Linked DNA regions of Schizosaccharomyces pombe. The gene in region 1 interacts genetically with each later gene. Each region holds a gene or a part of one and is shown on either strand. Other genes may lie near its edges.

The links. A genetic interaction does not mean that the proteins touch.
Region 2: mutations in nic1 (region 1) and php3 together harm fitness less than expected from each alone (positive genetic interaction), as found in Schizosaccharomyces pombe (one large-scale study listed by BioGRID).

Annotation. Positions count from the first base shown.
Region 1 is NC_003421.2:41,534-47,543, reverse strand, and holds nic1 (plasma membrane NiCoT heavy metal ion transmembrane transporter Nic1), read right to left. Parts: upstream 4,002-6,010; 5' UTR 3,700-4,001; coding exon 2,473-3,699; 3' UTR 1,850-2,472; coding exon of another isoform or gene 632-1,849; 3' UTR 559-631; downstream 1-558. Other genes in the region: SPOM_SPCC757.02C (epimarase), read left to right, coding at 632-1,849.
Region 2 is NC_003424.3:2,143,639-2,146,911, forward strand, and holds php3 (CCAAT-binding factor complex subunit Php3), read left to right. Parts: upstream 1-2,042; coding exon 2,043-2,141; intron 2,142-2,288; coding exon 2,289-2,349; intron 2,350-2,404; coding exon 2,405-2,532; intron 2,533-2,687; coding exon 2,688-2,750; downstream 2,751-3,273. Other genes in the region: SPOM_SPAC23C11.07 (uncharacterized protein), read left to right, coding at 1,256-1,588. UniProt on the Schizosaccharomyces pombe protein: Belongs to a complex that binds to the sequence CCAAT located upstream of genes involved in mitochondrial electron transport.

The DNA of each region.
Region 1 (6,010 bases):
GAGTTAATAGTGGAACAATTTATTGTTTTTGTTAGTAGCTGGATTTTATTGGATTTATTTATTATTTCCTTTTTATTTTAGATTGTTAGTTTTTGAACTAATTACGAACAGCTTGTGAGGTTTCAAAAATGACTTTTAACCATCCAACCAAGCAACCTTCCAAGCAACCTTCCCATAAAGTTAACAGTTTATAGTCAGGTGTTCTAAAACAATTAGATAAATATTCATTGTTATGTTTTTCCATCAGTCGCAAGGGGCATCACTGCAATGGTGCCTCGATTTCTCTGTATTCAACTTGCTTGCTAAGCTCTAACAGCGTCCCTACATATAGTCAGCATTATTAAAATACCTTTTGTATTTCATACCTCAATCAAATATGACCATACATACTTGCAACATCATACTGTTATTATCACACCGACATGTGTTCACTAGCTATTGTGAATTTCACAAACTAGAACAAGTCTATAGTATGGATGATGTTACTAGTGATATAGCAAAAGTGAATGAGATCATAAAATTTGGGTATAAATTAAAGCATAAATGCTATATATATATATATATATATATATATATATATATATTTCATATATGCGAGATTTCTTAAAAGATATTCAAAGTTAGAAACACAATGGCAGAAGAAGGTTACGTGGCTATAGTGACTGGGGCAACAGGATTAAATGGTGCAGCTATTATTAAGAGACTGTCAGAGGATGATAATTGCAAAACTATACACTGTATTTCTCGTTCGTTGAAAGATGAATACCCTAGAAAAATCAAGCATCATTCCATAGATCTGCTAAATGAAGAACCCAAAGATATTGCAAAAAAGTTTTCTCTCGAGGGGGTTAAGGGAATAAATTATGCATACTTTGCAGCTTATAAAGAAGAAAATAATGAAGAAAAGTTGTGTGAAGTTAACGGTAACATGTTGAGAAACTTTGTGCAAGCATTAGAACTTACTTCCATTCAAACTTTGAGACGCGTAATTCTAACCACTGGTCTAAAATTTTATGGATTACATTTAGGAGAAGTTCGTTTGCCAATGATTGAGACAGACATACGAGTACCTGAAACATTTAGTGGAACTCCAAATTTTTACTACGTTCAAGAAGATATTCTTAAAGAATTTAGTAACGGTAAAAAATGGGACTACACCATAGCTATGCCGAATGATATTTGCGGAGTATCAAAAGGAAGCTACATGAATGAAGCATTCACTATAGCATTATATGCTTTGGTTTGCAGGGAGCTTCATGAACCGTTCCGATTTCCAGGAAATGAAAAGTTCTATCTCGGCTTCGATGATATCTCGTATTCAAAGCTAATTGCTGATTTTCAATTATGGATGACATTTAAAGCAGAATGCAGTGAAGAGAAATTCAACATTGTAAACGGAGATATTCACAGTTGGTCAAGAACTTGGCCTAAAATAGCCGAATATTTTGGGGTCGAGGTACCAAAAAACCAATTTGCAACGGATTTTACATTAAGTACAGAAGTTACTTTAAGTACACCTTCTCCCATAAATCTGTACGAAAAAGAGCTCGGCATTAAACATACCCCCAATAGTAAAATAATAAACCAAATATCGCTTCAACAATGGGTCAAGCAAAAGAAAGTCCAAGACGCTTGGAGGACAATCGCAGAAAGAGAAAAACTCAATGCTCATGCTTTAGAAGTTGGGACTTGGGCGTTTTGTGATTTTTTGTTCGGCAGGACGTACAACGTTATATCCTCAATGAGCAAAGCCAGGAAGCTTGGTTACACTGATTACTATGATACCTTTGATGGATTTAAAGAGACATTTGATGAATTAAAAAAACAGAAACAAATCCCACAAAATTAGTCGAACTCATGAATTTCTCATTTTTTATTTTATATAAAAAATTTGAAGAATGTTCGAATCTCAGAAATGGAAGAAACTAATTCAACTTTTTCTTCGACAGTTTACTAATCAAATAGTCAAGCAATGAATGAATCACCCAATGAAATCAATTCTTTGTCAAGAATTTTATAAAAGTATTCTAGAATACATCGGGTAATATATTTGACCCGTATGTTATATTGAATAAACCTGCATTTTCAAGCCTCCAAAAGTTGAGTAAGCAAAGTGCTAATGCCGATACACAGTATTTTTTTAAAAAAAATACAGCCCTGGTATTTTGCCCGAATCATAAAGCCAGGCCCAAGGAGGATTTTTTGTTATCATGTAAAATATGTAAAGAATAAATTTTTCACATTTTGCTTGCCTTTCTTTTTTCACACAAATAAATTGCTACTAGCAACTGTTTAACCTATATGACCTCAAACGAATGTATGTGGCTCGTCTGCTTATTCAAATCATCAATATCGAACCGAGTTTCTATTTCATCATGATAAAGGCATAAAGACTTTTAACCCAAGCAACAGGTTAAGAGAACAAATCGAGAATACTGAAGAAAAAAAAAGGAAACAGAAATTCCCAGTCGTTCAAACCTTAGAATCCACTGTATCGTAACTCACCTTTTCACTTTCGGAAATTTGAACAGAAATCGAGTTTTTTGATACGTTTTCTAATTCTTTATTTTTCTCTAGAACTTCGTCCTCTCTGTCATTTCCTACTTGCACTGGAGGTGTAAATTTTTTCTTAAAGTAATTATGCATGGAAATACCAAACAAACCTGCTAGAACAAAGGCACCGCATATACATCCACCGACTATTTCGTAATTATCAGATAATCTATTGAGGCCATTCCAAAATGTACTTTCCATTGGGTGGACACTTATGATTAGCATAAGCATTTGAATGATACCAATTGTAAATGCTGCTATAACCGAAACAAATGTTAAAATTATGGAGTAATAAAGCCTAGAGAAATAAGGATTGGTTTCACCCGAAGAATATGAGTAAGCATAATACATTAATGCTCCATCTGTGGTATCAACTAAGCACATTCCAACAAGAAATACAATGGGGAAAAGTAAGATTGCCCATATAGATGTTCCTTTTAAGGCTTGCAAGGTTGCGATACCCAACAAGGAAACCTCAGTACTGGTATCAAATCCCAATCCGAAAACAAAACCAAGTACATAAATCTTCCACGGAGAGTCAACCAATCTAAACAATCTCTGCATTTTTCGAGCTAAGAATCCGGTGACCCCTTCATCTTTAGTGACACCAGATTTGCGATACATCCAAAGCCAATACGATAACCGGACTAGTAAAACGGTATTTCCAATTGCCAACAAAAGTAATAGTCCCATGCTAACTGAAGTTCCAATTATTCCTCCTATGGTTTGAAAGTTATTCCATCGATCTGCAAACTTACTGGAAGTAGCTGCTACTACGATGCAAGTTATAAGGACTACAGTTGAATGACCAATGCTGAACCAAGTTCCAACTGTTGACATTGGTTTGTCTGTTGATAATAAACGGCGCGTTAAGTTGTCAATTGCAGTAATATGATCAGCATCGAGAGCGTGTCTTAAACCAAGTGTCCAAGATAATAAAACTGAGAGAAATAACGATCTGTTAACTAAACTGATGACTATTGCCGCAACTATCCAAACTACGATATTTACCGATATCAAAGAAAAGATAGGCACGCTAACCTTTGGTGGAAGCTTTGATAGAAAGGGTATTTCGAAATAAAAATTCTCAAACTTCCTTAGAAATTCATTTTTTCTAGGTTTAACATATTCAGACATACTGTTCATACAAATAAACGCGTAATTTGAATAGATTGCGTTCACATAAACCTGTATCCACTTAGGATTCCAATAATAATAACAATTTTACCTAATATCACAACAGTTCTGCAACGCACTGTAGTAGTTTACTTTAAAGGAAGTAAATCGCTTGAGTTTGTGAGAAACGAACTTGGTTGACTCACAAAGTTCCTATCCTCAACACAATGGTAAAAGAATTGAATAGTGCAGAGTGTAGAAAAGATGAGCAGGTGATTTCAAAGGGTAAAATCAAAGCGATCATGAAGGATACTGCTGTAGTGCAACCTATCAAAGTCATATTTAATTCACGTGTCGCAGATTCATCTCGTAAGCAGCAACGACCGATATGGCGGTGATGCTTAAACGTGTTTATTGTCAGCAATACTACACTACGCTATGATACACTACGTTGAGTATCACTATATGTCACATGTTCTAATTATATATCGTACCATGTATGATACGATATGGAGATTGATCTTAATGATAATCTATTAAGATCAATATTATCTGAATACTATAAATAGAGCTACTGCTGAACCTCGTTCCTCAGTTCAGTTATGAGCTATATTAGTGATAGGTAACATTATAACCCAGTTAATACAATACCTATACTCAGTTGCTACTTATACAACCTGTGTATTGTAATATAATAGATCACAAGGAAAACTCACCGCAGTTCTACGTATCTTTAAATCAGATACCAAACTGCGTAGCTTACATATAAATTACATAACGCTAATGTCATACAACACCGTATTCGTCTGATTTGTCTACAAAAATGTAAACAAACAATTATTTTATCGCATTGATACAACAAACCAATTGAATATCGCCTTTTGAAGCATAAACTTTGCATTTAAAAGATGAATAAACAAAGGAAGAAGTTAATTGGATCTCACACCGCATAAACGATGCATAAAGTTTGATGTGGTGTCGTAACGGTGTATTATAGGTTGTTAACTGAGAGGTAAACATCAAACGTTTTCCGATTGGGTCCATGAATAAAGACTAAAAATGAGTAAATGTAAACAAACCCGACTATATATTGAGACTATTTTGTCAATTGAAATTCATAACCTCACTTCCATTCATACAGCTAAACATTTTTCAGGATTTTAGCTTGAAAAATGGGAAAACAAATAAACCAGTATCTTTAGAGGTTGTCAGTATCCATATCTTAAACAAAAGGTTAAATGCGGTTATGAGTGTCATCAAGCACGTTTCCGTAATGAATTAAAATTCAACAAAATACAGCGTGATAAAACAACGATACAAATCTTGATTTTACAAGTTATCGTTTGTTCTTTGTGATTATGTTTATCATTATCATCATTTACTTTTATTAATATGATGACTAGCTTTCCTACCCAAAAGCATGTTATTGTATTAGTAATTTGGTTACCCGAAAAAGTATAAAAACTTTTTCACTGGCTACCCTCTTTTGGTTACTTCCTATGGTTGTAAATATTTGGAACATCTTTACTTTCCTTCTTCATCGTTTTAGGAAAGACGACATTGTTCTTTATATTTCGCATTACTGCATGGTCGGTGAATCATTTATTTGACCAATGATTCAAGTCTTGTAATCCCCCAGTTCATTAAGAGGATTTCAGTTTCTTCTTTTAATAAGTTTAGTGTCGTCATTGAAGATTAGGTCAAAACAATGGCAATATCTGGCCCCATTTGTTTAAAATTATATTTTCTATCTTGTTTTCAATTTTCAATATTCGGAAAAGCTTCATTTTTTGAGATAACTTAAGAGAGATTTTTACATTGCTATGTACATTTAATTATGCCCACATAGATTGGATACCCAATAAAATTTGTGAAATTTTCAAATAAGCATATGCTTTGTAACAATATAGGATATCGGCGGTTCATTTGTTTTCAGTGCCAAGTCGATCTTTTAATGAGGAAATAATGAGTAGACTGTAAGAATTTCAATATTGAAACGTAAATTAGATAAATGCACTTTCGTCTCTATTTGTTAGGTAAAAAAATGCGAGATTAAATTTGTTTCACACTATTTTTCTAACGATCAATATATTCAACTATTTTCTGAATTTATCTTTTACAATAACAGTCAGGTATATTGACTTTTTGATTAAATTTAGAATATGTGAAAGTATTTTGCTGTTTTAGTGACTCTAAGCAATATTTATAATGTCGTCTACCGCATATTCCCAATAACCGATTATGTACTTGTAAAATCACTCAATTAATATTTTTATAATCTTTAGCCTTATAAACTTCAAGTTTTTTTTTTAAATTCGAATAAGCAAAGAACCTTTCATTT
Region 2 (3,273 bases), on another chromosome or scaffold:
ATTACCACAAAAAAAAATAGAAATTGACTTGATAATTGTTGAAAAAGTATTATTTGCAATGAATACAAGTCTTTGCAATACTTTTGAATTTTCTTTTAACAATAGCTTGACTACCAAACTATTGTAGGCAAATGAATTTATTATGTAAAGAAATCTTGGTTAAGTTCTATCCTTTTGCGGACCCTTCACCATCACTGGCTACTTGCCATATATATTATAAACTGCCATTATGTTCTACGTAAATTAGCCTGCGTCGAGGAAACGTAATGAATGGGCGGCTCAGCGTTGTATGGAAATAAGACTAGTTAAGTGTCCTTTAGTAATGCACTCGATTACTCTATGTGACGTCGAGAGGACGGAAGAGTAGGAATGATGGTAAAGGCAAAAAACATATTCGTTCTTTTGACAACACACAGCTCGCATCGCCTTCAATTACCCTTGCCAATGTTGCAAGTGATGATGGGTGAGATGGGATAGAAAGAGGAGCAAACTTTTAATCTGATATATCATTGATGTATAGGAAATGAGAAATAAAAATACAACTAGGTTTATAGTGCATTCCACTGTATAATATAAAGATTAGGATAGATACACATGACTTTTGAAGTGCAGAAGTATAGTCAAGTAGGGAATATAGTTGAGTAGATGCGAGTTGTAGAACAAAACAATTCAGTATACGCAATTTTCCCCTACGGGAACATATTTAGGTATGCGTGCGAATGGAGAGTGAAGATGAATGAAATGTAGAAAAAAAAAACACTGGATTGTCAGTTTTGCCATAAGATACATTTACTTTCTTGTTATTCCATTTTTCTACGAATCTTCTTTGCTAGGTTATTTTTATTAACTTTTTCGCAAACACGATTTTAATAACATTGAATTCCTCTTCAGTTATCAGATGTGAACGGTAAATACCAATTGTGAACTATTTCAAACGAACTTAATATTTGCTCTGTAAGTTGTAAAATAAATGTCTCATAATTATTTCGCTGTCAGTTTCCACAATCGCTTCTACTCTTTTTTTATATTTATATTTATATTTTTTTTTTGAATTAAATTAATTCATATTATTATTTATTTTTCTTGGTTTTCTAATGATATGTTTATGATATTTATAAAAGGATTTATTTATTTGCTTTTTGTATGAAGGATCGTCGCTTGAATGACAAAACACTTCTTTTGCTAGTCTCTCCTTTCCTCTTGTTTAACGTATATCACGATTATTTTGTCAGCGTAAAAGTGACATAGGGATTAGATGGCATCCCACTTTCTTTTTACTGGGAAACCTTGGCTTCAAGAGAAGACGCCTCGCCTTCACCTTCATCCCACTTGGGACCTTAAAGCTTCCAAAAGTCTTGCTCGTTTCCCTTATACGCCACTTGAAAGTCTTTTGGCCCCCATTTCGGCCTTTCACCCCACTTACCTAAATAGCGCAGCCCCGTCGAAGGCTCAGAGCCATCCAGTATTGCTCGCCGCTGGAGTAGGTGGAATAGTAGTTAGATGCCCCAGTCGGAAACCGATATATCGTACCACTCGAATTCAGTATCTCTTGTTAATCTCCCACTTTACAACTGCACTATTTAAATAATATTATAGGCCGATACAGTCAGTCTGCGAATTGCTTGCAACCTGTAGAAACAAATTGCTGTTTCTTTTGCAATAACATAGTGTTTCTTTATCGCAATAACCAACTACTGATTTCTTTCCCTATTGGAAGTAGATAGACGTTTACTTTCTTTTGTGAAGAAGCAGAAAGTTAACGTTAAGCCATTACCCTCGTTCATTGCTCAAAAGGAGGTCATTTCTTTTTATTTGATTTGTTCGTCTTTTAGGATCTTCATCTCCTGCTGAATTATTGGATTTCTTTTTAGTTCCCTCCACAAAGGCTCGAGAATAGGTTATCAGCTGTCGATTTTTGTCAAGGATCGTGCTTGCTAGTAGTCAAACCAATTTTAGCGGGGTTTGTGTACTTATTTTCGTTATTTGAGGTTTCTCTGCTCGCCAAAATTAAATTATACAAGTAAAAGATACATTTAATTATCATGAGCGCAGACGGGTTGGATTACACCAATCTCCTACCAATTGCAAATGTCGCGCGTATCATGAAATCGGCACTTCCCGAAAACGCCAAGATTTCCAAGGTATGCATGATTTGTTGAATTGAGAAAAATCGCATTGTCAGTCTCTTCGATTGATTGATTGCTAGTGACGGAGTAGGTCGCTGTGAGTGCGTTCTTCTCTTTTGTTTTGTAATTTTCATGTTGCAGTGCTAATGTCTGACTTTTTAGGAAGCTAAAGACTGCGTCCAAGATTGCGTTAGTGAGTTTATTTCCTTTGTTACTGGTGAAGGTATGGAATCAATAGCAAAAGCCTCATGTATAGTTATTTACTGACCATATAATAGCATCTGAACAATGCACTCAAGAAAAGAGAAAGACAATTACTGGTGAAGATGTTTTATTGGCTTTAAATACCCTTGGGTTCGAAAATTATGCCGAAGTTTTAAAGATTTCTCTCACCAAATACAGAGAGGTAAGGAAAAATTCTTTATTTGAATGGTGATACGTGTACTTCTACTTCCTTGTTGGCTTAGAGATTTAAATTGTCTCAAGCAATGAAGGCGCAACAATTCATTCACTCATACCAAAATTTCATTCTCATAGTCACTTTTCTAACATCTACTCTAGCAACAAGCAAGATCTGCTAGCATGAAAGAAACTAAACAAAGCCGGTCCGAAGAGCCTCAGTAATTTCCTTATATATTTTGCATTAGCGGGGTTTTCCCTGAAATATTTCCTGACTTTTGCAGCGATCGTCGATCGCCTTATTTGTTATTCCTCTCTCTTTTTGTACTCTCCTGTTTTATCTCTGTTTATCTTACAAATGATGCTAATTTACGAACTATGTTAATTTCTACTTTAACCAAGTTTCAAAGATAAGCACTATATTGCCAAAATGGCCTGTTCATATTTAAAACTTCCTTAATGTCGTCAGTATAAATTTAGCAATTACTATTGCCTGTTTACTTAAAGTGTATTATTGTGATTATCCCTCATTCGCTTTTGCTTACTTTTTCATTTTGTTAATCCTGCTACTGTTAACCTATATATTATTTTGAAAAAAATAGCATTTCATTTTTATTTTTACTCATTTCGTCTATTTCACCGAAATCAGCATAAGACACATATAGTCATTCGGTTCATGGAAGGATTAGCCGATGTTTCCGTAGTCATATACGTATCAATCAATAAATTTTCTTATTGTCAGGAAAGT